Linked DNA regions of Anolis sagrei. The main gene of each other region encodes a partner of the protein of the gene in region 4 in a complex. Links are inferred from orthologs where the notes say so. Each region holds a gene or a part of one and is shown on either strand. Other genes may lie near its edges.

Region 1 (7,485 bases), on a different chromosome or scaffold from region 4:
ATAAATGGAAAAATAGAAGTAACATTTGGGAATTTGATATGAAGGAGGGAACTGGTCTGCCACATTAAATTCCCAATTCTTTTAAGAAAGAGACACATACACACAGAAATAACTTTCACGGTTTTGTGTGGGCAGCTATGTCTCTCTCTGCATTAAAAAACAGCACTGAGCTGTACAATTTATATGGATCCGAGAATCTTCTGTTGGTACATGCTGGTACATAAGGTTTGCAAAATAGGAAACTAAACATAGCACTGTTCTAACAGATTAAGGAGAAAGTGGTTGCAAGGATGAACAACAGAATAAGAAAACATTCCGCTCCTTTTTTAAGGTGCCCAATATGTTACAACTCACTTTTCCATCTGGTACGCCACAATTCCTCGCTGGAAATATGCCACTGCTAAGTGTCTGTCATTGTTGGTACTCCTGGTAAAGGCCTGAAGGAAGCAAAAATAATACCTCTTGAAAAGTATTATAGATACAGCAGTTTGGGACTTCTGGGTTGCCAGGCATTGCCAGCACAAACTGATGGGGCACAATCTATATAAATAAAAATGTAACAGTCGTTTGTGGTATTAACATAACTCAAAACCCACTGGACGAATTGACAACAAATTTGGACAGCATACACCTAACAACCCAATGTATCCTTCACTCAAAATTTTTTGATTTTGTCTTTTGGGAGTTGTAGTTGCTGGGATTTATAGTTCACCTACAATCAAATAGCAGGATAGAATTGAACCAAACGGGGCATAAAGGACTCCCATGAAGAATAGAAAACACCAGAAGGGTTTGGTGAGCATTGAGCTTGAGTTTGGGAGTTGTAGTTCACCTATATTCAGAGAGTACCATGGATTCAACCAATGATGGATCTGGACCTGGGCCAAACTTGGCACAAATATTCCATATGCCCAAATATGAACACAGATGGGGTTTGGGGGAAATAGACCTTGACATTTGGGAGTTGTAGTTACTGGGATATAGTTCACCTACAATCAAAGATTGTTCTGAACCCCACCAATGACAGAATTGGGGCAAACTTCCCACACAGAACCTCCATGACCAAGAGAAAATACTCAATGCTATCCAGTCCAACTCCCTTCACCAGGGCAAGAAAACATAATCAAAGCCCTCATGACAAAGAGCCATCCAGCCATAAATATAGATAGATGTGATTCACACACACAGAGATATAGTATCATAGATTTGAAAGGGACTCCTAAAGAAGGACAATATGTTGCATGTTCCAGAGTAGGCAAACCAGACAATCTTCACATTAACACTGACAAAGAAACAATAAGAAATACTGTTTACCCACAAGCATAAAAAAATTACATATATTAGAAACCAATGCTTTCTCATTACTTTATTTTCCAGATCACCAGACTGGGCCACAGCAAGGCCTGGCAGGGGACGGCTAGTCTATATAAACAAGCCACGAGAACAAGCCATGAGAGTCAAGACAAAGATCCACCCTGAGGAAAAGTGTTCTTGCAATATATCAAGGGAACCACTGACCGCATTGGGAAGCTGATGAGGAAACACAACATACAAACTATCTACAGACCCACCAAGAAAATCCAGCAAATGCTACGTTCAGCAAAGGACAAGAGGGATCCTCTCACTTCTGCAGGAGTCTACCGTGTACCATGCAGCTGTGGACACGTCTACATAGGGAGCACCAAACGCAGCATTGCCCAGACACGCATCAAGGAACATGAAAGGCACTGCAGACTACTTCAACCAGAAAGGTTAGTCATAGCAGATCACTTGATGAACCAACATGGACACAGCATATTATTTGAGAACACAGAAATGCTAGACCACGTCACACTACACAGAAGAGCCATTGAAATCCACAAGCATGTGGACAATTTCAACAGAAAGGAGGAAACCATGAAAATGAACAAAATCTGGCTACCAATATTAAAAAACTCTAAAATTACAACAGCAAAACAACAGAGAGTAAACAATCAGGCACATCTAATCACCTCTCAACAAAAGATTCCCCCAGGCACTGCCAAGCCATCAAATGCTAATCAAGGTGGTCAGTTGAAACATTCACACCTAGCTCCAGCAGACAAGAGTTTTGTCCCACCCTGGCCATTCTACAGATATATAAACCCATTTTCCTACTTCCAACAGACCTCACTATTTCTGAGGATGCTTGCCATAGATGCAGGCGAAACGTCAGGAGAAAATGCCTCTAGAACATGGCCATATAACCTGGAAAAACCTACAACAACCCAGTGATTCCGGCCATGAAAGCCTTTGACAATACATTGAAACCAGAATGTTTCGCACACCCCTAAATCTGTTGTAACCCCCTGCCATTTGAAAATGAAAAAGGAAATAGAGTAGGAACAGGGAAGGAAAACAAGTAAGTTTAGCTAGCAGTCCATATTTTTTTGGTCATTCACCAATCAAACCAAGAGCAGGTTGTTGCAGGTTTTTTCGGGCTATATGGCCATGTTCTAGAAGCATTCTCTCGTGACGTTTCGCCTGCATCTATGGCAAGCATCCCCCGAGGTTGTTAGGCGAAACGACGGACTTCTAGAACATGGCCATATGGACCGAAAAACGTACAACAACCCAGTGATTCCAGCCATGAAAGCCTTCCACAAACCAACAGCAGCTCAGAAATCCTGACTTAATAACAGGGACACAGCTAACCTGTTTTTAAATGGCTTCTTTTCCCATCTCTCCCTACTAGTTCCATGGAAGGACTCCTGCAGCCATCCAGGTTTACTTGTTGGGCTTGTTAAGCTGCTTTTGGGGAGAATATTTCAGTTTTCTTGGCCACCTACCTGCTGTGCCTCATCCAAATTCCCCATGACCAGGTGGGTGCAGCCAATGTTAAAGCAGATTTTGGAGGAAGGATTTGGAACCGAAGTGAAGGCAGACAGAGCAGCCGGCCAGTCTTTGCGGTCAGCTGCAGACACCCCTTCACTCCACAGTCGAATTGTCTCTACAAGGGCCATGGCCAAACTGGAATCTATTCAGTTGCAAGCAAGGGGCTCTCACAATCCACCAGGCAAGCTCCCCTTGCACATCAGGTATGCATTCTGCTCCCCCTCTCGAAGCTCACCAGTGTTGCAATTGCAAACAGACCAGGAAGTCTCATCACTGAACTCATAACTGAAAGAGGGGCCAGGCTTGACAGAGGAAGTAATGCCACACGGGCTGGAAGATTGCCCAAAGAAGAAGCTGCTTTCAGGACAGAGCATTGTCTGTGATCCTCTGCTCAGGTTGCTTGCACTGTCTGACGTTGACTTCTCATCATGCGACTGCAGTCACGCCTTCCTTTTTCTGAATTTCACTTTCCATAAGAGTCTTAAAATAAAATCATTGGGCTTCCCTTTCATGATGTGTTAACTCGGGATCTGTCGTGAAGATTTCAAGAGTCAAACCCGGCCTCTCTGTGGTAAGAAGCTATACATAAAAAGGAAGCTGTTGCAGGATTGCTCAAGTTAACATCTTTTAAACACAAGTGAAGTCGAGCATGTCCGTCCGTCCCCCCAATAAGGGATGGTAACTTATAGTTCTGCAAAGGGCAAGGGTACCAGATTGCACAAAGGGGTTAAGTCTTGGTCAATTTGTCAAAGACACTAACAACAACAAGGACCCCATGAGGCTTTCAGGGAAGAGCCTGGCCTTGAGGCCCCAGTCCTTGGAGGGAGTTATAGTTTTCCAAGGACTAAGGACCAGCTTGATCTTGGCGCTGCAAGAATCCCTTCCTTGGCTCAATGGAAATCACCCAGCTCCTTTTCTGACTATTGGACTTCCTACACATCATTTTTGGCTCTAATGAACTTATTTTCACGTTTGAACTTCCCCAGTATGAACTATGGACACATGTTTTATCAAAATTATTATTTTAATCAATTTCTCTGGCGGGCAGGAAGACCCGGATAAAGTAATCAACAAGACCCATCAAAAGACAATAGACTGGCATCCTTTGCAGGCTGAAGTCTCAGACTCAGGATTCCCCCAGGCATGAAATCCATTAATCCATTCATGAACCCATTGTTTCTTCTTCGTCCCACCTCCCCTCTCCTGATTCGCCGGAGCGCTGAGGCGGTAGGAGCTCTCCAATTGGTTCCTGCACAGCGGAGGAGCTCTGTAGTTGGCTTTGGCCCCCTCCCAGCTGGAATCACGTCAGCCAATCATCAGGGCGGAGGGCGGGAATTTTGAAACTTCTAAGCCTGTAAACCTTATTATAAAAATGTCTCTGATCTTTGTACTGGCATGATTTGTAGGCGAATGATTGCTACATTGCATCCTTTTCAGCTGAATCACTAATAAAAACACCTCAGTGCCACTTCTTCAACTTTGGTGAGATTTATTTTGAATTTTTTAATTTAATAAATTGGCTGAAATCAGGCTTCTCTAGCTCGCCAAAGTAGCGATCCCTCTTTGGTGGGGTCTCAGGGTCCCTCCTCCTGGAGACGACCCTCCTAAACTTCCTACCGACTTCACAAGCAAGTTGCCCAACTGGTACTTCCATAGAATACTATTATCTACTTTTTTGCTTGTGAGTTGGATTAACAACTAGCCCACCTCCCAAATTCTTCCTCTCTTAGGCAATCCCTCATTGGCTGAGTAGGATAGTCTTCCAGGATCAGTGTTCTGGTGGGTCCGTAGGTGACTGTGGAGCCCTATTCTTGATCTGCATCTTCTCCCACAGTGAGGGCATTGGTTTCCAGGTGGAAGGTGGTCTTGGTCGGGGTTGGCTTGATGCACCTTCCTCTTGACACGTTTCTCTCTTTCGCCCTCCATTCATACTTCTTCAAATTCTACAGCACTGCTGGTCACAGCTGACCTCCAATTAGAGCGCTCAAGGGCCAGGGCTTACCAGTTCTCAGTGTCTATGCCAGAGTTTTTAAGGTTGGCTTTGAGCCCATCTTTAAATCTTTTTTCCTGTCCTACATTCCGTTTTCCGTTCTTGAGTTCGGAGTAGAGAAACTGCTTTGTGAGATGGTGGTTGGGTATTCGGACAACGTGGCCGGTCCAGCGGAGTTGATGGCAGAGGACCATCGCTTCAATGCTGGTGGTCTTTGCTTCTTCCAGCATGCTTCTTCCAACATTTGTCCGCTTGTCTTCCCAAGGGATTTGCAGGATTTTCCGGAGGCAGCACTGATGGAATCGTTCCAGGAGTTGCATGTGACGTCTGTAGATAGTCCATATCTCACAGGCATATAGCAGAGTTAGGAGGACAATAGCTTTATAAACAAGCACCTTGGTATCCCTACGGATGTCCCGGTCCTCAAACACTCTCTGCTTCATTCAGAAAAATGCTGCACTCGCAGAGCTCAGGCAGTGTTGTACTTCAGTGTCAATGTTGACTTTTGTGGAGAAGTGGCTGCCAAGGTAGCGGAAATGGTCGACATTTTCTAGTGTTACACCATTAAGCTGTATTTCTGGCATTGGAGAGGGACTGGCTGGTGACTGCTGGAAGAGCACTGGTTTTCTCGATGTTTAATGACAGGCCGAGCTGCTCGTATGCTTCTGCAAAGGTATTTAGAGTGACTTGTAGGTCTTCTGAATGCGCACAGACAACGTTGTCATCAACATACTGGAGTTCTATAATAAATGTTGTTGTAACCTTGGTTTTGGCTTTCAGTCTGCTGAGGTTAAATAGCTGTCTGATAGATGATTTCCACTCCGGTGGGAAGCTTCCCATCAGCAAGATGAAGTATCATAGCTATGAAGATGGAAAAGATGTGTTAACTCAGGATCTCTAGTGAAGATTTCAAGAGTCAGTGATGGGTCAAACCCGGCCTACCTGTGGTAAGAAGCTATATATAAAAAGGAAGCTGCTGCAGTATTGCGCAAGTTAACATCTTTTAAACACGAGGTAATCGACAATATTTGCTTTGAACTGGATTATCTGAGTCCACACTGCCATATAACCCAGCTCAATGTGGATTTTATACCAGTCTGAGGGGAAACAATCTCAGAGTCGCTAGTAAAGGACTTGATAAAATAGTGTAGAGACATCACACTGGCAACAAAGATCCGCATAGTAAAAGCAATGGTATTCCACATAGTTACCTATGGATGTGAGAGCTGGACCATAGGGAAGACTGAGCGAAGGAAGATAGATGCAGCCAGAGAGACGCAGCCTAGGCTCACTTGTACCCTCAATAGCAACAAAATGGAGGGACGGCGGGCGTTTTGCGTCCCAAGAAAGAGGCCTATTTGGAGAAGGGCCTGTTGAAAGGACAAAGGGCCTCATGGATGCCGTAATTCTGAAACAGACCATTGCTGACAACCAACAGCCGAAGTCAGCCATGCCGGTTTTGAGGCCAGACTCGTAGGTGTTTTGGACTCCCAACTCCCACAGTTCTTAACAGCCAGTAGTGAAGTGTCCTGTTCTAAGCCTGTCTAGAAACATCCTGCTCTTCTACAGGGTAACTCAGTCCTGTCAGAAGAACAACAACAAACATGGTGTCGATGGAGAGACGCGGCCTAGTCCCACTTGGAGCCTGGGAGACATTGAAATAGTGAGGCAGCGTGCCTTTAGTGGCCAGAGAGATGTGGCCTTGTCCTACTTTGGAGCCTGGGGTACAGGGAAATACAGTGGACCTTTTGCAGCCAGAGAGACGTGGAAGAGAAGGCTGAGAGGAGATATGATAGCCATGTATAAATATGTGAGAGGAGGCCACAGGGAGGAGGGAGCAAGCTTGTTTTCTGCTTCCCTGGAGACTAGGACACGAAACAATGGTTTCACACTACAAGAAAGGAGATTCCATCTGAACATGAGGAAGAACTTCCTGACTGTGAGATCCGTTCAGCAGTGGAACTCTCTGCCCCAGAGTGTGGTGGAGGCTCCTTCTTTGGAAGTTTTTAAACAGAGGCTGGATGGCCATCTGTCAGAGGTGCTTTGAATGCAATATTCCTGCTTCTTGGCAGGGGGTTGGACTGGATGGCCCATGAGGTCTCGTCCAGCTCTTTGATTCTATGATGCTTTTGAACTGTGGTGTTGGAGGAAATTCTGAGAGTGCCTTGGACAGCGAGAAGATCCAATAAAGCCTGACTGCTCATTGGAGGGAAGAATAGTAGAGGCCAAGATGAAGTACTTTGCCCACATCATGAGAAGAAAGAAAAGCTTAGAGAAGACAATGATGCTGGGGAAAATGGAAGGAAAAAGGAAGAGGGGCCGACCAAGGGCAAGATGGATGGATGGCATCCTTGAAGTGACTGGATTGACCTTGAAGGCAGAGGTGGCCCTAGGTAATTTTCAACGGTAAGCAAACAGTATTTTGCACACACACACACACCCCCGCCCCCAACCAATCACTGATATATATTTTCTGTTCGTCATGGGAGTTCTGTGTGCCATATTTGGTTCAATTCCATCAATGGTGGAGTTCAGAATGTTCTTTGATTGTAGGTGAACTATACATCCCAGTAACTACAACTCGCATATGTCAAGGTCTATTTACCCCCAAGAGTGCCTCAAGAGTGCCCCTGGGCAAAATC
Region 2 (7,610 bases), on a different chromosome or scaffold from region 4:
AATTTAGACAGTATTTGAAGATAATTTACTGTCTCAAGGACTACAAGATAACTAAGTAACATTCAGTTTTGTTTTGTGATTCATGTGCAGTGTATTTACACGCTTTATGTTAACACAGTTCTGCTTTGACAACCCTTATTTTTCCCTGTCAATCTTATATTGGATACTAATCCCTATCAAACCCATCTAAGTGGCCATTGGTGGGGGACTATGGAAGAGGCAGCATGTTAACATCTGGAAGGTCACATATTCTGCAGCCATTGTTAGTTGTTGATCAAAGGGGCAGAAACACATAACATCAGGTACCACATTCCCAGTGACTATGTAAAGACTTATACTTTTACCCTTGGTTCTGGCAATGACCTGATCTCACCATTACCAAAAAGCAGAGTGTAGGAATAGGGCCAGCAATAGTGGCCTCAGGCCCCAGTGAATTTCGTTTCTCACTTCAGGTCCACCACCTGTTCACCAGCAGCAACATGATATGTGGAGGCCATGAATCAAATTTTCTATCTTTGCCCTCATTCCTGGGAGGGTTTGCTTGGAAAAAGTTCCTGTTTTTATGTTTATGGATTTATGTTTGACTGACTGCCGTGGATTTTGGCTCTCTTAATTTCATGTACTTTGCCATTTGTGAATTGCTGCTATTTTGTATCTTTTACATCCCTACCATTTTTATCTTTTACATTCCTGCCCCTTTTCCCAAGAAAGCAGGAATGCTGTGAAAAGCTTTGTCAACCTCGTGGTATTTAAAGCCATTATCTATTTCCACAGTGGCAATATTGCCTTCCCATGACTCTACAACTGATTCATAATGGACAGAGGACCTGGAGTCTGTTTGGCAATTATTGGCTAATATAAAATGAAACTGCAATTATTAATTATGTGATAATTAAATGTTAAGTAGGGCATGGTAGTGATTAATGAAAGCCATTATTGAAATAACCAAGCAATTCCTGATGTAATGTTACTGATGGTAAAATATAGCACATCACTTTTTAAATAAATAAAGCTCCAAGATGCCCCTTCTTTGCACCATAGACTTGCTGTTTTGTCTTCTAGGTCTGATAGGTGTGTGAACATCTTGATCAAGGTTGACAACTGTTGTCCTCCAGATGTTTTTGGACTGCAGTTACCATAACCCCTTATTGTTGTTAGCTAGGGTTGAAGGGAATGGTAGTCCAAAAGCATCTAGAGGGCCACAGCTGCTAACATAAAAGGGGAAAGTGCCTAACTCAAAAAATGGATCACAGGTTTGCATAAAATCTACATACATATCCTACAGTATATACTCATGAATAAGTCTAGAAATTTTAATAAAAAATCAACTGAAAAACTGGGTTGATTTATCCATAGGTTAATGTGAATGCGGCAAAAGGAAGAGGGGCCGACCAAGGGCAAGATGGATGGATGGCATCCTTGAAGTGACTGGACTGACCTTGAGGGAGCTGGGGGTGGTAACGGCCGACAGGGAGCTCTGGCGTGGGCTGGTCCATGAGGTCACGAAGAGTCGGAGACGACTGAACGAATGAACAACAACAATGTGAATGCTGTAGCTTAACTCATATCAGAAAATCAACCACCCCCTTCTCTAAGCAGAGAGGCAAAAAACAATAGCTTAGTTCATTCCAGGAGAACCTAAAAGAAGAACTGACCCACTCTAAGCTCTGTGCCTTGGAACTACTTCTGGAATTTTTGAATGGTTGTATGGCCACAACTATTTATACAGGAGGTCAATTTATACAGGAGTATCTACAGTATGTTAATTTATTTGGGGATGTACAATTTAAATAGAACTATATCTCAACTACAGTGAAAAGGAAACATAGACCAGCTACACTGCAAAATTATTAAATGACACGGCCCCATCCTATGGATTCATGGGATTTGGAAGAGAAGGTTAAATATCTCACAAAACCACAAATTTCAATCTGCTATCCAGGAACTTCAAGTCTTCTTCCAGTAGAGTTATGTGTGGAAGATGGATTTGGACTGAGATGATCTTCAAATAGTGGAGGGCACCTTCAAACAGATGACTCTAATGAAGAGCAGGTGACCATCCAAGGCACAAATCATGCATGATGGCAGCAAAGTGAATGCGTTGATCCAAATACAGTGATCCTGTTGCTTTCTTTTGTATCATTATTTACTAATTATTAGTTATCTAGTGTGTCAGACAAGGAAATTATAAAGGGTGCCTCTGTGAAGATGTGACAAGATGACAAAGAAAATTGCTGTGATAGTTGTAATTGTGATTACAGGGTTAATTTTTTATGGAATTTGTTAACTGATGGATGCATATAAACTGGGTATGACAGTAGGATATGTGGATGATTCCATGACTCATTGGTAACATGTCTCTCTTGCTTCCTTGCATGCTGGTTTTCTGATTTCCTTATGATAATTGTATCTCATTTGCTATGATTGCTGAAATGTTACAGTGCAGAGTTAAGGTCATTAGAGGCTATTGAATAGCGGGTCTGGTCAAGGCTAGCCTTAATACTGGGCTGAGGAAACCACCACAGGCAGTGGTTGCTCGCGAAAAGGTGTTAAATAACAGAATTGTACATGCCACACAATCTGGCCTGTACACCCTAAGCTATTTTATTTATCGTATCAGAAGCAAACCGAGGGTTCAGGTATAATATATTTTTAAAACACAAAGTTTAAAAAACTTGGCATTATACTAAATGTCCTTTGACCAGTAACTGGCCACTTGGAGTGCCTCTGGTGTTGCTATAAGCAGGTCCTCCATTGTGCATATGGCAAGGCTTAGAAAGCATTGTAATAGGTGGTCTGTGGTTTGCTCTTCTACTCACCCGCATCTTGTGGACTCCACTTTGTGGCCTAATTTCTTAAGGTTGGGTCTGCATCTGGTGGTGCCACAGCGCAGTCTGTTTAGCACCTTCCAGCTTGCCCAGTCTCCTGGGTGCCCAGGGGGGAGTCTCGCATTCGGTATCAGCCATGGCTTGAGGCTCTGGGTTTTAGCCTGCCACTTTTGGACTCTCACTTGCTGAGGTATTCTTGCAAGTATCTCTTTAGATCTTAGAAAACTATTTCTTGATTTGAGGCATTGGCATGCTGGCTGATATCCAAACAGGGGAAAGGGTGGAGATGTCACTGCCTTGGTTCTTTCAATACTGGCTGCTACTTCCCAGCAGATGTCAGGTGGTGCAATTCCGGCTAAACAGCTTAATTTCTCCAGTGGTGTAGGGCATAGACATCCTGGGATAATGCAACATGTTTCATTAAGAGCCACATTCACTGTTTTGACATGGTGAGATGTGTTCCACAGTGGGCATTTGTACTCAGCAGCAGAGTAGCATAGCACAAGGGCAGGTGTCTTCACTGTATCTGGTTGTGATCCCCAGGTTGTGCCAGCCAGCTTTCGTATGATATTGTTTCTAGCACCCATTTTTTGCTTGATATTCAAGCAGTGCTTCTTGTAAGTCAGAGCGTGGTCCAGGGTAACTCCCAGGTATGTGGATGTACTGCAATGCTCCAGTGGGATTCCTTCTAAGCTAAGTTGCTGTACTCAACTGGAATGAAGCAGATTTTCCCTTCACCAAAGTAGTAATAAGATTTAACTGCCAGTCCTTTCACCTTTTGTATATGGACTAGGAGGACATCACCAGGTCTTCCTTTGCAGGGACCAACATATCTTGGGCTGGTATTACTGCAAGTAAGAGTATTCCTAAATTAAAGCAGGGATGGACAGCATGTAGCCTGCAGTTACAATGCAAACATTTTCTCTTCTCCCTCCCTTGAATGTCCACTACCAAAACATCTGTTGCTAGTGCTGCCCAAATTCCAACATTTATACTGGGAAACATGGAATATGAAGAGCACAAGGCTAGTTTCCTAAGTTTGCTTTACTTGTTTCTAAGTAAACCTATTTAGAAATTATGCATACAATGATTGCAATAGGAGAGGAATTCCCCCTTATGATAACTGGCCCCGTTGTAGTTCATGTCATGGCAACTACAGTATGAAGCATACTTCTGAAAAAAAGAAAACTATGTGTAATGCTTTCAAAGTTTCCTATTTCCAAGAAGAATGGTTGTGTGTTGGACAGTGGCAGAAAAAGCAGTAGCAAAAATGGCAGCAAGGGCAAATCTGCTGGCAGCAATGGAAGGATGAACCACTCAAAGCATTCCATGTACACCCACCAGTGTATCCCACCTATTCACAGGAAGATGGGCACACCTGGGTTTCATGGAAATATGAGACAATGTTGTGGACGATTTTTAAAAACTGTAATTTTCTGTATCTTAAAAAAGAAATGTATTTCTTTTGACAAGAGAAGAAAAGGTGTTTCTTCACCAAGGCTCCAGAGACAGCTATAATGGCAAGCCACTCTCACCCAGCCATCTTCTTCTCAACTGAAAGAGAAAGAGGGAAAATATCTCTTTCTGGGGTTTGTTCTTTCTCCCACTTTCCTTCTGCTCCTCTGGATGGTTCTCCTTCCTGTGTAGAAACTGCATTGCAACCTCTTTTTAGTGTCCAAAGACTAAGCCACACAGTGTGATGAAAAAGGAAGTGCTTAGCTATCTGCAGCATGCAAAGAGAGAAATATATTTGAAGCTGCACACCCTTCCCCCAGCACACAGTCAGGGCTGCCTTGGGGACTAGTGGGCGGGTTGAGAAACATTCTCTCTTCCCTTTCCTCCCTAACCCACAACCTGCTGTTCAATTCAGCTTTGGTTTTGATATAACTGTAGAACACTTCCTGCCGGCAACGTTGGTGAGCTGTTACCTTTATTCGAGAGACCTGCTGAACTCCACAGCATCGCCAGGCCACAGATATGCAAGCCATCAAGTGTGTGGTGGTCGGAGATGGGTATGTATGATGCCTTTGAGGCACAGGGGAGAGTGGGGGAAGGGCTGAGCTTTGGATGAACTTCTTGTTTCCTCTAATACCCTATTGGCTGGGTTGCATGCTCTTTCTTGCTCTATGTCCATATCTCTTTTAGAGTGGCCATGCAAGCATGAGGGGGAAGATTGATCCAAGACATCAAGGGCAGAAAAATAACATTTAACAAAAAGTGCCACAAAAAGATAGTTTCAGTTAAATGTTACTCTGGAATATGTGTTATTTCTGTGTGGCATCATCGATGACAGAATCAAGGCCAGAATACAGTTATCCCTTGCTGAGTGGTCCATGACCACTTTATGTAGTTTGGTTCTGATGAATGTTTCATATACTGCTTTGTTAAATGCAAGTGACCTCCAAAAATACGAAACAAAAATGTTGAATCTGTTGGATTAAAAGCTAGCACAGTGCAGCAAGCTCTCAAATGAAACAAAAACAAGGTGTTTGTGACCTTGCGTCGGGGCTGGTCTTTCTCTGCTTGATGATGGTAAAGAGCATATGTGACTATTCATTTTGCATGGGAAAATGAAAGCATTTGTCTTTCTGGAAGCATTTGCCATAAGCCATAAATGCACAAGGCTGCTGTGACCTGTGGAGATCTAATTCCTGATGTCAGTGTGCATAGGCTAGAGGCCAGGAGCTGACACTCAAGAGATAGGTGTAGCCCTAAGAGAAATACCCTGCTCCTGACCAACAGTTTCCAGTCCAGAAACAAAACCGGCTTGTAGCATGGAAGCAGTAGGTCTGGGATTTGTCATCAGACTGCTTTTTATGTATAGTGAGACCTTGGGCTCCCCCTTTCCCAGAGTGATCCCCTCCACTCACCCATAACTTCTTATAGGGTGGCAACCTGTTCTTGATGGGGTTGCACTCCCCCTGAAGTCACAGGTCCACAGCTTGGGTGTCCTCCTAGATTCTGCGCTAATGCTTGAAGTTCAGGTGTCGACGGTGGCTGGGAGGGCCTTCACACAATTGAAGCTCGTGCGCCAGCTATGACCGTATCTCATGAAGTCAGATTTGGCCACGGTGGTCCATGCCTTAGTTACCTCTAGATTGGACTATTGCAATGCGCTCTACGTGGGGCTGCCCTTGAAGACAGCCCAGAAATTCCAACTGGTCCAACGAGCGGCAGCCAGACTACTAACTGGTGTGAGCTACAGGGAGCGGTCAACCCCCCTGTTTAAGGAGCTCCACTGGCTGCCATTTATTTTTCGGGCCCAATTCAAGGTGCAGGTTTTGATCTACAAAGCCCTAAACAGTTTGGGGCCCGCCTACCTGCACAACCATATTTCTGTCTACGAACCCATGCGACCTCTTCGATTTTCCGTAGAGGCCCTTCTCTCGCTCCCATCTTCATCACAAGCATGACTTGTGGGAACGAGAGACAGGGCCTTCTCTGTGGTGGCCCATTGGCTCTGGAATACACTCTCCAGAGATATTAGGCCAGCCCCCACCCTGGAAATCTTTAGGAGGAGCCTGAAAACTTGGCTGTTCCAATGTGCCTTCAATGACTGAATGTATGATAATCCCTGACCAGAGGCGGCCCTAGGCAATTTTCAATGGTAAGCAAACAGTATTTTGCCCTCCCCCTCAACCAATCAGTGATATATATTTTCTGTTCGTCGTGGGAGTTCTGTGTGCCATATTTGGTTCAATTCCATCATTGGTGTTCAGAATGCTCTTTGATTGTAGGTGAACTATACATCCCAGTAACTACAACTCACATATGTCAAGGTCTATTTTCCCCCAAGAGCGCCTAAAGAGCGCCCCTGGGCAAAATCAACTATACTGCAAATGCTTACTTTGTGTAATGGGTTGAGCCGCCCCTGTCCCTGACCAAACTCTGCATAAAATGTCCTCAGACACACTTTATTCTCTGGTTTGTGCAATGAACTCTTACCTTATCCCCCGGATCCCCTTCCTGATATTTTACACTGCCCTATCTCCCAGTGTTTTAATTTTTTAATCTTTGAACTGGCCCTGTCCATTGTGTTCATTTTTAGTGGTTTAATATTTTGATTTTATATTGTTGTGCTGTATATTTACATTTTGTATTTTTGTACTTTATGTTATTTTATTTTCTGATTTTCAGTTATGTTTTTGTGTTATATTGTGTTTCTGTATTGATGGGCATGGCCTCATGTAAGCCGTCCCAAGTACCCTTTAGGGAGATGGTGGCGGGGTATAAATAAAGATGATGATGATGATGATGATGATGATGATGATGATGATGATGATTATTATTATTATTATTATTGGGAGCCTTAGTACAATGCTGCTATGTTTTGTTGAAAGAAATAAGCAGCATGTGAGAATGTTCTCTTTTCTTTACCTATAAATCACAAAATCTCGCAAACTCCCTCTGGGCAAAAAGTAGTGGAAAGGGGTATTTCAAGTGGAGGCCAACACTTTGAGAACATGACCAGTTTACAACAGGCCAAAGGCTTAGCCCTACCTCAACCTCAACGCCACAGCCGTTGACCAAAGCAGCTGTTGGCTGTGCTGAGTGGTGGATCTGGGGAGTCATTGCCCTATGGAACATAACATCCTTTTACTGGGATAGCTTGTCGTGGGTGGAGGACATTTGCAAGACTATTCATCTCCTTCCTGACAGTATTATTTGGCTGTGACTCAAAACCATGTCCTTTTCCATAAGCTGAAGTCAGCTCAGTAAGAGCTTGCAGCTTGCCTGTGGATATCACTTGCTTGCAACTCTGGGGCTCCTTTGCACAGTTAA
Region 3 (7,640 bases), on a different chromosome or scaffold from region 4:
ACAATAGACACAACGAGCATTCGGCTCATTCCTGCATCTGGAAAGGTGAGCAGCTGGGGACGCAGCGAGTGGATCCTTTATGCATGGGAAGATGGTCTTGGGTGATTTTTTTCCACGGACCCCACACTCATCTTGACATTTTGGGCTAGGTGGCGAATGGTTACGTGGCGATTTTCCAAAATGGTGACCTCCACTTGCTGGATGGTGTGTTCATCAAGAGCAGAGTGCGGTCGCCCTAGAATTGGAGCTGTTTGCACCGAAGTCTGACCACATTGGAACCAAGGATGCCAGTTCTTGACTCCATCTTGTGATGAGGAAGCATCACCATAAACCTCTTCCATCTCATTGAACGTCTCCTTTGGTGTGTGGCCTTGCAAGAAAAGGAACTTGAGGACTGCTCTGCACTTCAGCACCTGTCACATCAAGACCGTTCTCAGTTCTGAGTTGTAAATTGGCATGTCACCTTTAGAGACTTATATCATTGCACATGGGTAGTTTCAGTGTCCTGTGATCAATAGAAGTGGGTCAGGGGAAATCTTTCTTGAACACCACTCATATAATTAGCCCTTTCTTCAGTCCACAATGGAATGGACAATGCCAGTTCTTGAATCCGTCATATGATGGCGAATCATCCCCATAAACCTCTTTCATCTCATCAAACGTCCCCTTTGGTGTGTGGCCTTGCAAGAAAAGGAACTTGAGGACTACTCTATCTGCCACTGGGTCCATTCTCAAACCTCACACCACTTCAGCACCTGTCACATCAAGACTGTTCTCAGTTCTGAGTTGTAAATTGGCACGTCACCTATAGAGACTATCATTGCACATGGGCGGTTTCAGTGTTCTGTGATAAATAGAAGTGGGTCAGGGGAAATCTTTAATGAACGCCCCTCGTATATCCATATATATGGTCATTGCAGGGTTTGGCATCGTCTTCCACCATTTCCCAGCATCCCTTCTGCAAAGGAGGATGGAAGTTGTCATCCAGCAGCACGTGGATGGCTGTAGTTTTCTCTGTTGATCTCTCAATATTTTTAATCCATTCTAACCTTTGAAACCTTCTGCCTTACTAGAGAAAACTCTGGGACTTCCTTTTCCAGAAAATCAAGCAGATAGCCTTCCTATTGCCTTTCTTCCCTTTGCACAAAGTCTCCTGGAGAATGCAGTTGTCCTTTTCCCCCAACTTTGGTTTCATTTTTACTGGGTTGCTTTTTAAAAAGAAGTGAAAGTCGATAATTTTCATCCGAACTCTGGTGTTTTCTTTTGGGGATTTGCTTCTCTTATACCAGTGTTTCTCAACCTTCCTAATGCCGCGACCCCTTAATACAGTTCCTCTTGTTGTCTTGACCCCCAACCATAACATTATTTCCGTTGCTACTTCATAACTGTAATTTTGCTCCTGTTATGAATCGTAATGTAAACAGGATGTATTTTCATTCACTGGACCAAATTTGGCACAAACATCTGATACGTCCAAATTTGAATACTGGTGGGGTTGGGAGGAAATAGATATTGTCATTTGGGAGTTGTATTTGCTGGGATTTATAGTTCACCTACAATCAGAGAGCATTCTAAACTCCACCGATAGAAATGAACCAAACTTGGCACACAGAACTCCTTTGACCAACAGAAAATACTGGAAGGGTTTGGTGGGCATTGACCTTGTGTTTTTGAGTTGTAGTTCGACTACATCCAGAGAGCACTGTGGACTCAGACAATGATGGATCTGAACCAAACTTGGCACAAATACACAATATGTCCAAATGTTAACACTGGTGGAGTTTGGGGAAAATAGACCTTGATATGTGGGAGTTGCTGGGATTTACAGTTCACCTACAATCAAAGAGCACTCTGATCCCAGTCCACAATGGATCTTCACCAAACTTGACAAATTACATAAACAGCCAACATTGAATATTTATAGGGTGGGGGCTGTTTCTGAATTCTGGGATTTGTAGTTCACCAACACCAAAAAGGAAGAGAAGAACAGGTGGAGAGATCGCCAGCCTTTTCTGCCAAAAGGGTTCCTAAGGCTTTTTGTTTTCTGATGGTCTTTGGAGGCCCCTCTGAAACCCCTCTCATGACTCCCCCAGGGATCCTGACCCCCAGGTTGAGAAATACTGTCTTATAAAGATGCAAAATTAACACTCATACCATCACTGAATTGCAGAGGTATAGGATGGGGGACACCAGGCTTGGAAACAATGCAAATGAAAGGGATTGAGGAGAGTCAAGACAGTGATGCAGCAGCGTAAAAGGCCAATGCGATTCTCAGGTTGGGATAGATGGCCTTTGGGGTGCCTTCAAGTGCTAACGGAATATATGCCTGGGAACCCAGTGAAGTCGCTTTCTCAGGAGGTTTCCAAGCAGAGGCTGAATGGCCATCTGTTGGGAGGGCTTGGACTATGTCTTGCAAGGCAGAAGGGGGCTGGCCTTTGGAATATGCCTTCCAGATATATGATTGTATAAATTGTCAGGATAGAAGCATTCAGAATGGAATGGCTAATTAGGGAGCCTCCATACCTGGAGGTCATTAAGTTGGGGCTGGATGGCCATCTGTCAGGAGGGCTTGGATTGTGTCTTTATGGTAGAAGGGGGTTGGAATAGAGGGCCTTTGGGGGACCCTTTCAAATACATTATAGTATACATTTTAAGGATGGAAACATTCACAATGGAATGGCTGGTGATGGCCATCCAGTCCAACCCCCTCCTGCCCTGCAAGGCACCAGCCAAGCCTTAGCAACAGATGGCCATCCAGCTCCAACTTCAGGATCTCCAAAGATGGAGACTCCATCACCAGCCACTGCATTGGGAATGTTTCCATCCTGAACATTTATATCCAGAAGGTTTCCTCCAAAAACCATCTATACCAACCCCCTTCTGCTATACAGGAATGGCTTGAATGATGTCTTCCTATATAGCAGAAGGGGGTTGGTATAGATGGTCTTTGGAGGAAACCTTCTGGGTAGAAGAGTCGATTAATGTTCAGGATGGAAATATTCCCAATGGAGTGGCTGGTGATGGAGTCTCCATTTTTGGAGGTCATGAAGTTGGGGCTGGATGGCCATCTGTCACTAAGGCTTGACTGGTGCCTTGCAGGGCAGGAGGGGGTCAGACTGGACGGCCTTTGGAGGTCCCTCCCATCTCTGGGGTTCCTTTGCAAAAGTTCTTTGCGCCTTATAGGAGGAGGCAGAGGAAAGGAGAACTTGCCCCAGTCATTGCACCTTTGGAGAGGTCGGGTGCCTCTTCTTTTCATGAAGTTGGGGCTGGATGGCCATATGCCAGGATGGCTTGGATGGCGTCTTCCTATATAGCAGAAGGGGGTTGGTATAGATGGCCTTTGGAGGAAACCTTCTGGATAGAAGAGTCAATAAATGTTCAGGATGGAAACATTTCCAATGGAGTGGCTGGTGATGGAGTCTCCATCTTTGGAGGTCGTGAAATTGGGTCTAGATGGCCACCTGCCACGATGGCTTGGATGGTGTCTTCCTGTATAGCAAAAGGGAGTTGGTACAGATGGTCTTTGGAGGAAACCTTCTGGATATAAGAATCGATTAACGTTCAGGATGGAAACATTCCCAATGGAGTGGCTGGTGATGGAGTCTCCATCTTTGGAGGTCGCGAAGTTGGGGCTGGGTGGCCATCTGTTGCTAAGGCTTGGCTGGTGCCTTGCAGGGCAGGAGGGGGTCAGACTGGATGGCCTTTGGAGTTCCCTCCCATCTCTGGGGTTCCCCTCTCCTTTCACAAACTTTGCAAAAGTTCTCTGCGCCTTGTAGGAGGAGGCAGAGGAAAGGGGAACTTCTCCCAGTCGTTGCGCCTTTGGAGAGGTCGGGTGCCTCTTCTTTTCATGAAGTTGGGGCTGGATGGCCATCTGCCAGGGTGGCTTGGATGGTGTCATCTGTCAGGAGGGCTTGAGTGGTGTCTTCCTATATAGCAGAAGGGGGTTGGTACAGAGGGTCTTTGGAGGAAACCTTCTGGATATAAGAGTCGATAAATGTTCAGGATGGAAACATTCCCAATGGAGTGGCTGGTGATGGAGTTTCCATCTTTGGAGGTCATGAAGTTGGGACTGGATGGCCATGTGTTGCTAAGGCTTGGCTGGTGCCTTGCAGGGCAGGAGGGGGTCGGACTGGATGGCCTTTGGAGGTCCCTCCCATCTCTGGGGTTCCTTTGCAAAAGTTCTTTGCGCCTTATAGGAGGAACTTGTCCCAGTCATTGCACTTTTGGAGAGGTCGGGTGCCTCTTCTTTTCATGAAGCTGGATGACCATCAGCCAGGATGGCTTGGATGGTGTCATCTGTCAGGAGGGCTTGGGTGGTGTCTTCCTGTATAGCAAAAGGGAGTTGGTAGATGGTCTTTGGAGGAAACCTTCTGGATATAAGAGTCGATTAATGTTCAGGATGGAAACATTCACAACGGAGTGGCTGGTGATGGAGTCTCCATCTTTGGAAGTCATGAAGTTGAGACTGGATAGTCATCTGTTGCTAAGGCTTGCCTTGTATCTTTCAGGGCAGGAGGGGGCTGGACTGGATGGCCTTTGGAGGTCCCTCCCATCTCTGGGATTCCCCTCTCTTTGGCAAACTTTGCAAAAGTTCTCTGCGCCTTGTAGGAGGAGGCAGAGGAAAGAGGAACTTGCCCCAGTCATTGCGCCTTTGGAGAGGTCGGGTGCCTCTTCTTTCTGCGTCTCTCTTCTCCAAACCGGGGGGAAAGGAAGGGAAGGAGGGGCAGGAAGGGACGTAGCCGGCGGCCCGGACTAGCCCTGCCCTGCTGCTGGGAGCCCTTCCCGGCCGGATCCCTGCCCTCTGGCCCCTTCGCCCCTTCCCCTCCCTTTCTCCCTCCGGAGTGCCAAAGGAGGAGCAGCCATGGGGCGCATCGAGTGGGCCATGTGGGCCAACGAGCAGGCGCTGGCTTCGGGGCTGAGTGAGTCTTTGCAAAGTCGGGGGCTTGTTTCCTTGTTGTTGGGGGAGGAGACCTAGGCATCAATAGAGGGGAGGGGGGTCCAAAGACCCACCCAAAGACAGCCCAAAGGAATGCGCTTTGGCACCACTTGGAGAGCCAGGGCGCAAAGCTATGGACATCAAGAGCACTTGCAGCTTGGCAAAACTTTTTGGTTTGATGGCGACCCATCAAGCCACATTCCCCCACATGATCCCCATAGCACAAACCCATAGGATAGTGTTTCTCAACCTTCCTCATGCCACGACCCCTTAATACAGTTCCTCATGTTGTGGTGACCCCCAACCATAACATTATTTTTGTTGCTACTTCATAACTGTTATGTTGTTACTGTTATGAATTGTCGTGTAAATATCTGATTTGCAGGATGTATTTTCATTCACTGGACCAAATTTGGCACAAATACTTGATACGTCAAAATCTGAATACTGGTAGGGTTGGGGGAGGGATTGATTTTGTCATTTGGGAGTTGTAGTTGCTGGGATTTATAGTTCACCTACAATCAAAGAACATTCTGAACTCTACCAATGATGGAATTGAACCAACTTGGCAAACAGAATACCCATATACAACAAAAAATACTGGAAGGGTTTTGTGTGCAGTGGCCTTGTGTTTTGGAGTTGTAGTTCTCCTACATCCAGAGAGCACTGTGGACTCAAACGACGGATCTGGAACATACATGGCATGAATACTCAATATTTCCAAATGTGAATACTGGTAGAGTTTGGGGAAAATAGACCTTGACATTTGGGAGTTGTAGTTGCTGGGATTCATAGTTCACCTACAATCAAAGAACATTCTGAACCCCACCAACATTGGAATTGAACCAATTTGGCAAACAGAATACCCATATACAACAAAAAAATACTGGAAGGGTTTGGTGTGCAGTGGCCTTGAGTTTTGGAGTTGTAGTTCACCTACATCCAGAGAGCACTGGTGGGCTCAAACAATGATGGATCTGGACCAAACTTGGCATAAATACTCAATATTTCCAAATGGAGTTTGGGGAAAATAGACCTTGACATTTGGGAGATGTAGTTGCTGGGATTTATAGTTCACCTACAATCAAAGAGCATTCTGAATCCCACTAATGATAGAATTTGGCCAAACTTCCCACAGAGAACCCCCACGACCAACAGAAAATACTGTGTTTTCTGGTGGTCTTTGGTGACCCCTCTGACACCCCCCTCACGACCCCCCTAGGGGTCCTGACCCCCAGGTTGAGAAACGCTGCTATAGGAGTTCAAGTGATGCCAAACTGCATTAATTCTACAGTGCGGATGTGCACAAAATGCTCATTGTTTCATATCTTCCTTTCTGTGCATTTTGTCTCCAAACAGCAACTTTGGGCATGACTCTTTGAAGTGCTCCATTCTGTGAAGTTGTAGTATTCCAAGGCTTTTGAGCCTTTTCCTGCCGAAAGAGCAATTAATTTATCGTGTCAGAAGCACATTGAGGGTACAGTTAAAATGCATTTAAAGTTGTTTTTTTTTAAAAAAAAAAAAACGTGGCATGATGCTAAATGGGTTGTTGTGATTTTCCAGGCTGTATGGTCATGTTCCAGCAGCATTCTCTCCTGATGTTTCGCCTGCATCTGTGGTAGGCGTCCTCAGAGGTTGTGAGGTCTGACAACCTCTGAGGATGCCTGCCATAGATGCAGGCGAAACGTCAGGAGAGAATGCTGCTGGAACATGGCCATACAACCCAGAAAACTCACAACAACCCAGTGATTCCAGCCACGAAAGCCTTCAACAATACATTATGTGAAATGTTGTTTGATCAGAAGCTGGCCTCTTGGAATGCCTTTGGTTTTGCTGTGAGAAGGTCCTCCGTTGTACATGTGGCAGGGCTCAGGCCACACTGTAATAGGTGGTCTGTGATTTGCTGTTCTCCACACTCGCATGTCATGGACTTAACTTTGTGGCCCCATTTCTTAAAGTTAGCTCTGCATCTCGTGGTGCCAGAGCACAGCCTGCTCAGTGCCTTCCAAGTCTCCCAGTCTTCTGTGTGTTCAGGAGGGTGTCTCTCATTTGGTCTCAGCCACTAATTAAGGTGCTGGGTTTTAGCCTGCCACTTTTGGACTCTCGCTTGCTGAGGTGTTCCTGCAAGTATCTTTGTAGACCTTAGGAAGCTGTTTCTTGAATTAAGGCATTGGCATGCTGGCTTGATATCTGAACAGAGGATAGACTGGAGATGTCACTGCCTTGGTCCTTTCATTTCTGGCTGCTACTTCCCGGCAGATATCAGGTGGTGCAATACCGGCTAAACAGTATAATTTCTCCAGTGGTGTAGTGCATAGACGTCCTGCAATAATGCACCATGTTTCATTAAGAGCCACATCAACTGTTTTGACATGGTGTAATGTTTTCCACACTGGGCATTCGTATTCAGCAGCGGAGTAGCCAAGTGCAAGGGCAGGTGTCTTCACTGTGTCTAGTTATGATCCCCAGGTTGTGCCAGTCAGCTTCCATACGATATTATTTCTAGCACCCATTTTTTGCTTGCTGGTAAAGCAGTGTTTCTTGTAAGTCAGGGCACAGTTCAGGGTCACTCCCAGGTGTCTGGGTGTGCTGCAATGCTCCAGTGGGATTCCTTCCCAGGTCATCCTCAGAGTTCGGGATGCTTGTCTGTTCTTAAGGTGAAAAGCATATGTCTGTGTTTTGGATGGATTAGGAATCAGTTTTC
Region 4 (6,831 bases):
ACAAAAATACCAGTTTGCACTCAATTAACTGAATGAGGAGGGGAGGAAAAAGGGAGTGGAATCTTACCTTTCCCAAGAGAAAAGCAAACTTCTACAGCCTCTCTTAGCTTGAGTGTTCTTTTTTGTAAATTTCTGCTATCTTGACACATATGTTCTGGTTTTCATATGTGAAATGCTAAGAGGTATGGGTTCCCCTTGATTTTAAAAGTTCAAGTCTACTTGGGGCTAAAGATGGGATTTAGGCCTTTGAAGCCAGGTTTTACAAGTCATTCTATACAAAACTAATAAAACAATAATATACAAAGCTAATAAAAAATAATAAGACGGGGGTCCAAGATGGCGGCGCGTGCCCTCCTGGTCTCCTTGGCCTGCCTCCGCTGAAGCCTTGCCGCCTTGGCTTCCTCCACTTCCCACCTCGCCTCCTCCTCGGCCAGAGCCCGCCTCCTCTCGCCAGCTCCTCTCCTAACCCTCCTCCGGCCACCTCAGGTTTCAGGAACATTCCTGCAGTTGAACCACCACTATGCTGACCTGCCCCCCTCCCCCCCACGCTGGATGGCATCAAGAAGCGGGTCCTTTACGTCTCAAAACTCTACAACAAGATCGACCCTGAAAAACGCACAGCAAATTCCCACTTCGTGAAAGATCTGGGATGGACAGCCTGGACCAAGTGGAGATTATCATGCGATGGAAGACGAATTCGGGTTTGAAATTCCCGACGTGGAAGCAGAGAAGCTGATATGTCCCCACGAGATTGTAGAGTACATTGTAGATAAGAAAGATGTGTAAGAATAAAGCGTGTGTCCAATGAGCTGAGTATTTCTGTTCTGCCCTGAGGGCCTGGATGGTGTGCGCAGGAAAGGGGGGAATCTGGCGATCAAGACACACGGACCCTTTGTGCCCCTCACTGCATCAGTCACCGTTGGTCTCGGACAGATAGTTCTGCCAGCTGCTGTATTTAATGTTGTACAAATCTATGTTGGCCTTTGAAATAAATGTGAGGCTGTTAAAAAAAAAAACTAATAAAACAAAACCATTGCTGTCCACAAAGGGGCACTCTTTCCCACTGCTGCCGTTGCTTGGCTGCTTTTTTCTCATGTAATTTTGTATATATTCATGAAGCTCCCTATTGCATCCATCTTTTCTTCTCAGGTTAAGGATGATGAATGCAACCCTTTTAGTTCTATTGCAGTTAGTGAAGATGACAGGACATGCAAGGAATTCTAAAAGCAATGGGAAGGAAAACAAATGAAATTGAGATGAACTAATTCAAATGATTTGGAGAGTTGTAAAACATTATGTCACTGAGGTCCATTCTACACTTCCATATGAAATCCAGATTATCTGCTTTGAATTGGATTATATTGCAGTGTAGACTCATATAATCCAGATCAAAGCAAATAATGTGGTGTTTTGCTTTAATAAACTCGATTATATGGCAGTATAGAAGGGGCCTGAACTGTATAAATACTATAAAATCTAGCAAATCCCTAGTTATCCATGTTGGCAATATGAATATGACTCTGAAAAGCATTAGCAGTCTTGTTCATATGTGTGAAAAAGTGTCCCTGGTACATGGGCATTATATCTTTATACATCTGTCCCAATTAAGCTCTCTGGTAAAGTTTATGGCCCATCGTTCACTCTAAAATCATATGCGTGCTGGGCTTTTAAAAAACCTAATATTTTGCATCACTAGATTCTAATAATGCAACTCACCAGCTTCATCTGATATATTTAAAGCCCTGCTTTATACCAAGGTGGGCAACTGTGGGAGGCGATGGCATCAGGGTATGCCTACACATCAGACAAATCCTTAAGTGCATTGCAAAATCAGGTTTTGCTTTTGGGGATTTTTTCCTGAATATTTCTGAATCATGGTTGGTTGAAACTGTGGGTGTGGAACCTCTGGATAAGGAGAGCCAATTGCATTACCATAACATGTGGTTGCCAAAAGTATATGAGATGGGGAGAGAAGCTTGCAGATGCAGATACATATGGAAATAAACAGGATGCAAGTTTAATTCCTTTTAACACTTTATACTTGACCTTGGCATTCCCACTATGAGAACATTTCTTCAGTACGTCTCATTAATTTCAGCAAAACAAACTTCTGAATCACATTTTTAAAATTCCCATTTTACTCCAAACTAGCATGACTATTTCAGAGACCATTAACAAAATGTATTTCCTATGGAACTCACAACTGTTGTAGTAAATTGTTTTTTTAAAAAAATAAGGAAACACTTTAAATATACTTGCCTGGTTGACTGTTGGATGTAACACTCGAAGTCTATATATAGCAGGGTTTGTGTTCTTTTAAAACAGTTTCCAGACATATTGAAACTGGAGGGGGAGGCAGTACAGCATGTGACCATCAGGTTCAATCAAGAGAACCTTGTCTTAAAGTGGGTTATTTATTTAGGTAAGTTAGTTTTGGCCACCTGGGTTTCATTTCCTATCCTTATGATGTTTAAATCTATTTCTGTAAGGGATGTGCAGGTCAGAAAGAAAACAAAGACAAAGACATGAGTGTACAAAGAAAGACAACAATGGAAAAAATTATAAGCTATATTCTGGGGAAAGGCAGAGCATTTTTATACTACAGGAAGCTTCTGCCCATGTTGAGAGTAACCCAAATCATGCTGCGTGTGCCATCTGTTCAGACCAGTAGGAGGCAGCATAGGGTAAATAAGTGGATAAATGCATGATGAGTCAAGATTGCAACTAATGCAGCAATGATGTCTCAAAATACCATGTGTTAATAATATGCTTGCAAGTACAATTCAACCCTGTAATCTACAGATTTGTTGTTTTCTTTATCAATACTATAAGTACATATGACTTTTAGTATTACAAATAATTACTAACACAACTCGTAAGTGATACTATGTGGCAAATGGTTCACGTACAATACCCTTACAAATAATCTGTACTGTAGGTTATTTCTTTGTGTTACAAATGAGAGCCACCATGGTGTGGTGGTTTGAGTGATAGATTAGGATTCTGGAAACCTGGATTGGATCCCCTCTTTGGTCACTGGATAACCTTGGGCTGGCTAGTCACATTTTCTCAGCCTCAGAAGATGACAAAAGCAGTTTCCCTCTGAACAAATATTGCAGAGAAAACCTCATGATTGGGTTGCATTAGGTTTCTGGTACATTTATGCAACTCCTGCCTCATGTCTTAACCCACAATTCCGCTTTTAGTTACCAGGCAAAAGCCCAGATAACATTTTTTAAAGAATTAATTTCTTTTTGAAGAATGCTATTAACTATTATAGGCTAAAACACTTTGGGATACTAGAAAAATAAATCAATCTCTCTGTCTCTCTCTGTCTCTCTTTCTCTCTCTATGCCCCCAGTAAGAAGATTAGCCTGGGATTGGGATCACAACCTGGATGAGGGTACCCCCTCTCAAAGATCTTAGCGTGTAGATACTCTTGGACCCAATGCTGTCCTTGCAGGTCCAGGTCATGGCAGTGGCTAGGAGCACCTTTGCCCAGCTTTGGCTGGTGAACCAGCTGCACCCTTTTCCTTATATAAGTGTAGATGTCTCTTAGCTTTCAACACAAACAACAAGATCCAGACCACTGACTATAGAAGAAGCAAACCTGTTCATTTCCATAATCCCTGTGTTTAAAGTTTGATTAGTGTAGTGGCTTGCAGACACAGAATGAGAAAGTGGAGTGGAAGTTAAAAGCATGTTAAGTGTATGGATAATTAGCATGCACAATCAAAAGGGGAAATAAGCTCTTGCAATGTTATAGTAGCTTTCACTTCCTTTCACTGGATTTTTTTTTGAAGTCACAACCCTCACAATAAGCGAAGCTAGTTCAGTTTCATTTGTGCAGTCACCATCATGGGCAACTGGGTGGAAAATGAGGGGCTCTCCATATTTGTCATTGTAAGTACAACAACCATGCATTTTTAAGTGAAATTCAAATTTTGTATTTGATTAGTTTTATGAAAAACTCTATCCCTTAACTTCTAATTTTGTGATATCTTCCTAGCTTTTAAAACATTGTATTAACAACAGAAATGTTCTTGAAAGTCACGCATCAGAAGGTGTCGTTATGGTTTTGTGCCTTCAAGTCATTTCCGATATATGGGAATTTTAGGGTGAACCTATCATGGGTTTTTTCTTGGCAAGATTTGTTCACAGCTAGTTTACCTTTGTCTTTCTCTGAAGCTGAGAGTACTACTCATTAAAAATGAGTTACTCCCGTAAGGAAATGTGTATTCCTTGAGTTTAGTCAGTTTGGTCCCAAATGCATAACTAACAAAATGGTTGCATTCTGGAATAGGTAGGAAATGAGATGGATACAAACATCATAGCATAGAAAAACTGCTGAATTCTCTGGGTTCCTTGTTGCGCATTAGATTAGAGCAGTGGTTCTTAACCTGTGGGCCTCAGACCACCAGTGGACAATTCTGCCAGCCAAAATGAAAGTTCTGCATTGGGCTCTCTTATAGCTGGTCAACTCTTGATTTGTACAGTCTGGGGTTCATGAAGTATAGTGAATAATTTTTCTTGTCTGCTATTTTGCACCACCTTCTGTTTAGTGGACCATGATGCTGTTTTAAACCACAAACCAGAACCTCCCCTATGTTGTAAAAACCTGGAAATAATTTCAGATCATATGTTTCTTCCTTCAGTTTTTATGGCTGGGTTTAAATGTCTTCCTCTTCTGGTGGTTCTACCAAGTATATGATCTTGGGGAACAGTTCTTCTACACAAGAGAACTTCTTGGGGTAAGTGCTAGATCCCTATTTTTCATATACAGTAGAAAAATAAGATTAACTTCATTAGTCAAAAGAGGAGGACCCCCCTTTAGCAAACAACGGATTTTCTGAAATGTTGCAACTTTGTGTCAGACTATTATTAAATTCAGCTTTCCTGTTATGTTTCTTTCTGTTCACTTTTAAGCAATCCTAAAATATCTGTTGGGTGGACTTCCTCACATTCACATTTCCCCTTTTTTTCTCCCACTTCGTATTAGATTCCAATGTTCACTTTACCACTTCAAAAGTGAGTTGTTATTTGGAAAATGGTGATGACATAATGACTCTACTAATTGCCAATTAGTTTCTGGAAAAGTACAAAGTGTTGGATATTACTTTTAAATCCTACACATTATGGGTCCAAGTTACCAATGAGAATTTGGGGATTAGAGTACAGTACACTGGTTGGTTGCTTTCAAATTTGGATTCAACCACAGAATGCTGCCTGACTTACCTGGAAACCACCAGTTGGCACTCCTTGCAGCGGAGTCTGGCAGGGCAGCAGCCTTAAAATCAAAGAAAAGGTGAATGAGCAGTGGTTAGATAAATGCTATGTGAACTTTTATAATATGGGGGGAACGGCAAAAAGCAATGGATCCTCACATTATCTAAATGGTCACCATTATATAGCTTGTTTGAGGATGAAGAGGAGTGCTGGCTGAAGAAGTTGAATAGAGCAAGATTTTAAGAGTGAAGGATTTATATAATAATGGAGGAGAATTGATGGATTTTATAGAGTTGGTTTAAAATCTTAAAAGATGATGCTGTCAAGGTGATGCATGCCATTTGCCAGCAAATATGGAAAACACAAGAATGGCCATCAGACTGGAAAAAATCAACTTATATCCCCATACCAAAAAAGGGAAATGCGAAAGACTGCTCAAACTTCCGTACAGTTGCCCTTATTTCTCATGCCAGTAAGGTAATGCTCAAGATCCTGCAAGGAAGACTCCAGCAATACATGGAGCGAGAGTTGCCAGATGTTCAAGCTGGGTTTAAAAAAGGCAGAGGAACGAGAGACCAGATTGCCAATATCCGCTGGATAATGGAGAAAGGCAGGGAGTTTCAGAAAAACATCTACTTCTGCTTCATTGACTATTCTAAAGCCTTTGACTGTGTGGATCATAATAAATTGTGGCAAGTTCTTGGTGGGATGGGCATACCAAGCCACCTTGTCTCTCTCCTGAGGAATCTGTACAAGGACCAAGTAGCAACAGTCAGAACTGACCACGGAACAACAGACTGGTTCAAGATTGGGAAAGGCGTACGGCAAGGCTGCATACTCTCACCCAACCTTTTTAACTTGTATGCAGAACACATCATGCGATGTGCGGGGCTGGATGAATGCAAAGCTGGGGTGAAAATTGCTGGAAGAAACATTAACAACCTCAGATATGCAGATGACACCACTCTGATGGCCGAAAGCGAGGAGGAGCTGAGGAGCCTTCTAATCAAGGTGAAAGAAGAAAGCGCAAAAGCCGGGTTGCAGCTAAACGTCAAAAAAACCAAGATTATGGCAACAAGAATGATTGACAACTGGAAAATAGAGGGAGAAACCGTGGAGGCCGTGACAGACTTTGTATTTCTAGGTGCAAAGATTACTGCAGATGCAGACTGTAGCCAGGAAATCAGAAGACGCTTACTTCTTGGGAGGAGAGCAATGTCCAGTCTCGATAAAATAGTGAAGAGTAGAGACATCAGACTTGCAACAAAGATCCGCCTAGTCAAAGCCATGGTATTCCCTGTAGTCACCTACGGATGTGAGAGCTGGACCTTAGGGAAGGCTGAGCGAAGGAAGATCAATGCTTTTGAGCTGTGGTGTTGGAGGAAAGTTCTGAGAGTGCCTTGGACTGCGAGAAGATCCAACCAGTCCATCCTCCAGGAAATAAAGCCCGACTGCTCACTGGAGGGAAAGATACTAGAGACAAAGCTGAAGTACTTTGGCCACATCATGAGGAGACAGGAAAGCCTAGAGAAGACAATTATGCTGGGGAAAGTGGAAGGCAAAAGGAAGAGGGGCCGACCAAGGGCAAGATGGATGGATGGCATC

What was found.
Region 1: CYBB (region 4) and NCF2 share a complex: the UniProt entries of both Homo sapiens proteins name them as parts of the phagocyte NADPH oxidase complex. The link is inferred for Anolis sagrei from reciprocal best matches to the Homo sapiens genes CYBB and NCF2.
Region 2: CYBB (region 4) and RAC2 share a complex: the UniProt entries of both Homo sapiens proteins name them as parts of the phagocyte NADPH oxidase complex. The link is inferred for Anolis sagrei from reciprocal best matches to the Homo sapiens genes CYBB and RAC2.
Region 3: the proteins of CYBB (region 4) and CYBA are in contact, whole or in part, in a cryo-EM structure (PDB 8X2L), measured with the Homo sapiens proteins. The link is inferred for Anolis sagrei from reciprocal best matches to the Homo sapiens genes CYBB and CYBA. Residues at the interface, in NP_000388.2 of Homo sapiens: Thr116, Ile117, Leu120, Phe121, Val123, Glu124, Asn128, Asn133, Lys161, Asn162, Pro163, Gly166, Leu167, Ala170, Val180, Thr183, Leu184, Ile187, Leu188, Thr191, Ser192, Thr194, Lys195, Thr196, Ile197, Arg199, Ser200, Tyr201, Glu203, Val204; in NP_000092.2 of Homo sapiens: Gln3, Ile4, Glu5, Trp6, Met8, Trp9, Glu12, Gln13, Ala16, Ile20, Thr23, Val27, Gly31, Phe33, Thr34, Gln35, Arg56, Arg59, Met65, Gly102, Phe103, Leu104, Leu105, Ala106, Ile108, Leu109, Ala112, Cys113, Ile116.

Annotation. Positions count from the first base shown.
Region 1 is NC_090024.1:122,473,118-122,480,602, reverse strand, and holds the start of NCF2 (neutrophil cytosol factor 2), read right to left. Parts: upstream 3,009-7,485; 5' UTR 2,982-3,008; coding exon 2,808-2,981; intron 438-2,807; coding exon 355-437; intron 1-354. UniProt on the Homo sapiens protein: Subunit of the phagocyte NADPH oxidase complex that mediates the transfer of electrons from cytosolic NADPH to O2 to produce the superoxide anion (O2(-)).
Region 2 is NC_090025.1:165,898,020-165,905,629, forward strand, and holds the start of RAC2 (ras-related C3 botulinum toxin substrate 2), read left to right. Parts: upstream 1-4,593; 5' UTR 4,594-4,805; coding exon 4,806-4,840; intron 4,841-7,610. UniProt on the Homo sapiens protein: Plasma membrane-associated small GTPase which cycles between an active GTP-bound and inactive GDP-bound state.
Region 3 is NC_090028.1:26,681,299-26,688,938, reverse strand, and holds the start of CYBA (cytochrome b-245 light chain), read left to right. Parts: upstream 1-4,637; 5' UTR 4,638-4,861; coding exon 4,862-4,919; intron 4,920-7,640. UniProt on the Homo sapiens protein: Subunit of NADPH oxidase complexes that is required for the NADPH oxidase activity that generates, in various cell types, superoxide from molecular oxygen utilizing NADPH as an electron donor.
Region 4 is NC_090023.1:79,967,247-79,974,077, reverse strand, and holds the start of CYBB (cytochrome b-245 heavy chain), read left to right. Parts: upstream 1-3,812; 5' UTR 3,813-3,858; coding exon 3,859-3,903; intron 3,904-4,655; coding exon 4,656-4,751; intron 4,752-6,831. UniProt on the Homo sapiens protein: Catalytic subunit of the phagocyte NADPH oxidase complex that mediates the transfer of electrons from cytosolic NADPH to O2 to produce the superoxide anion (O2(-)).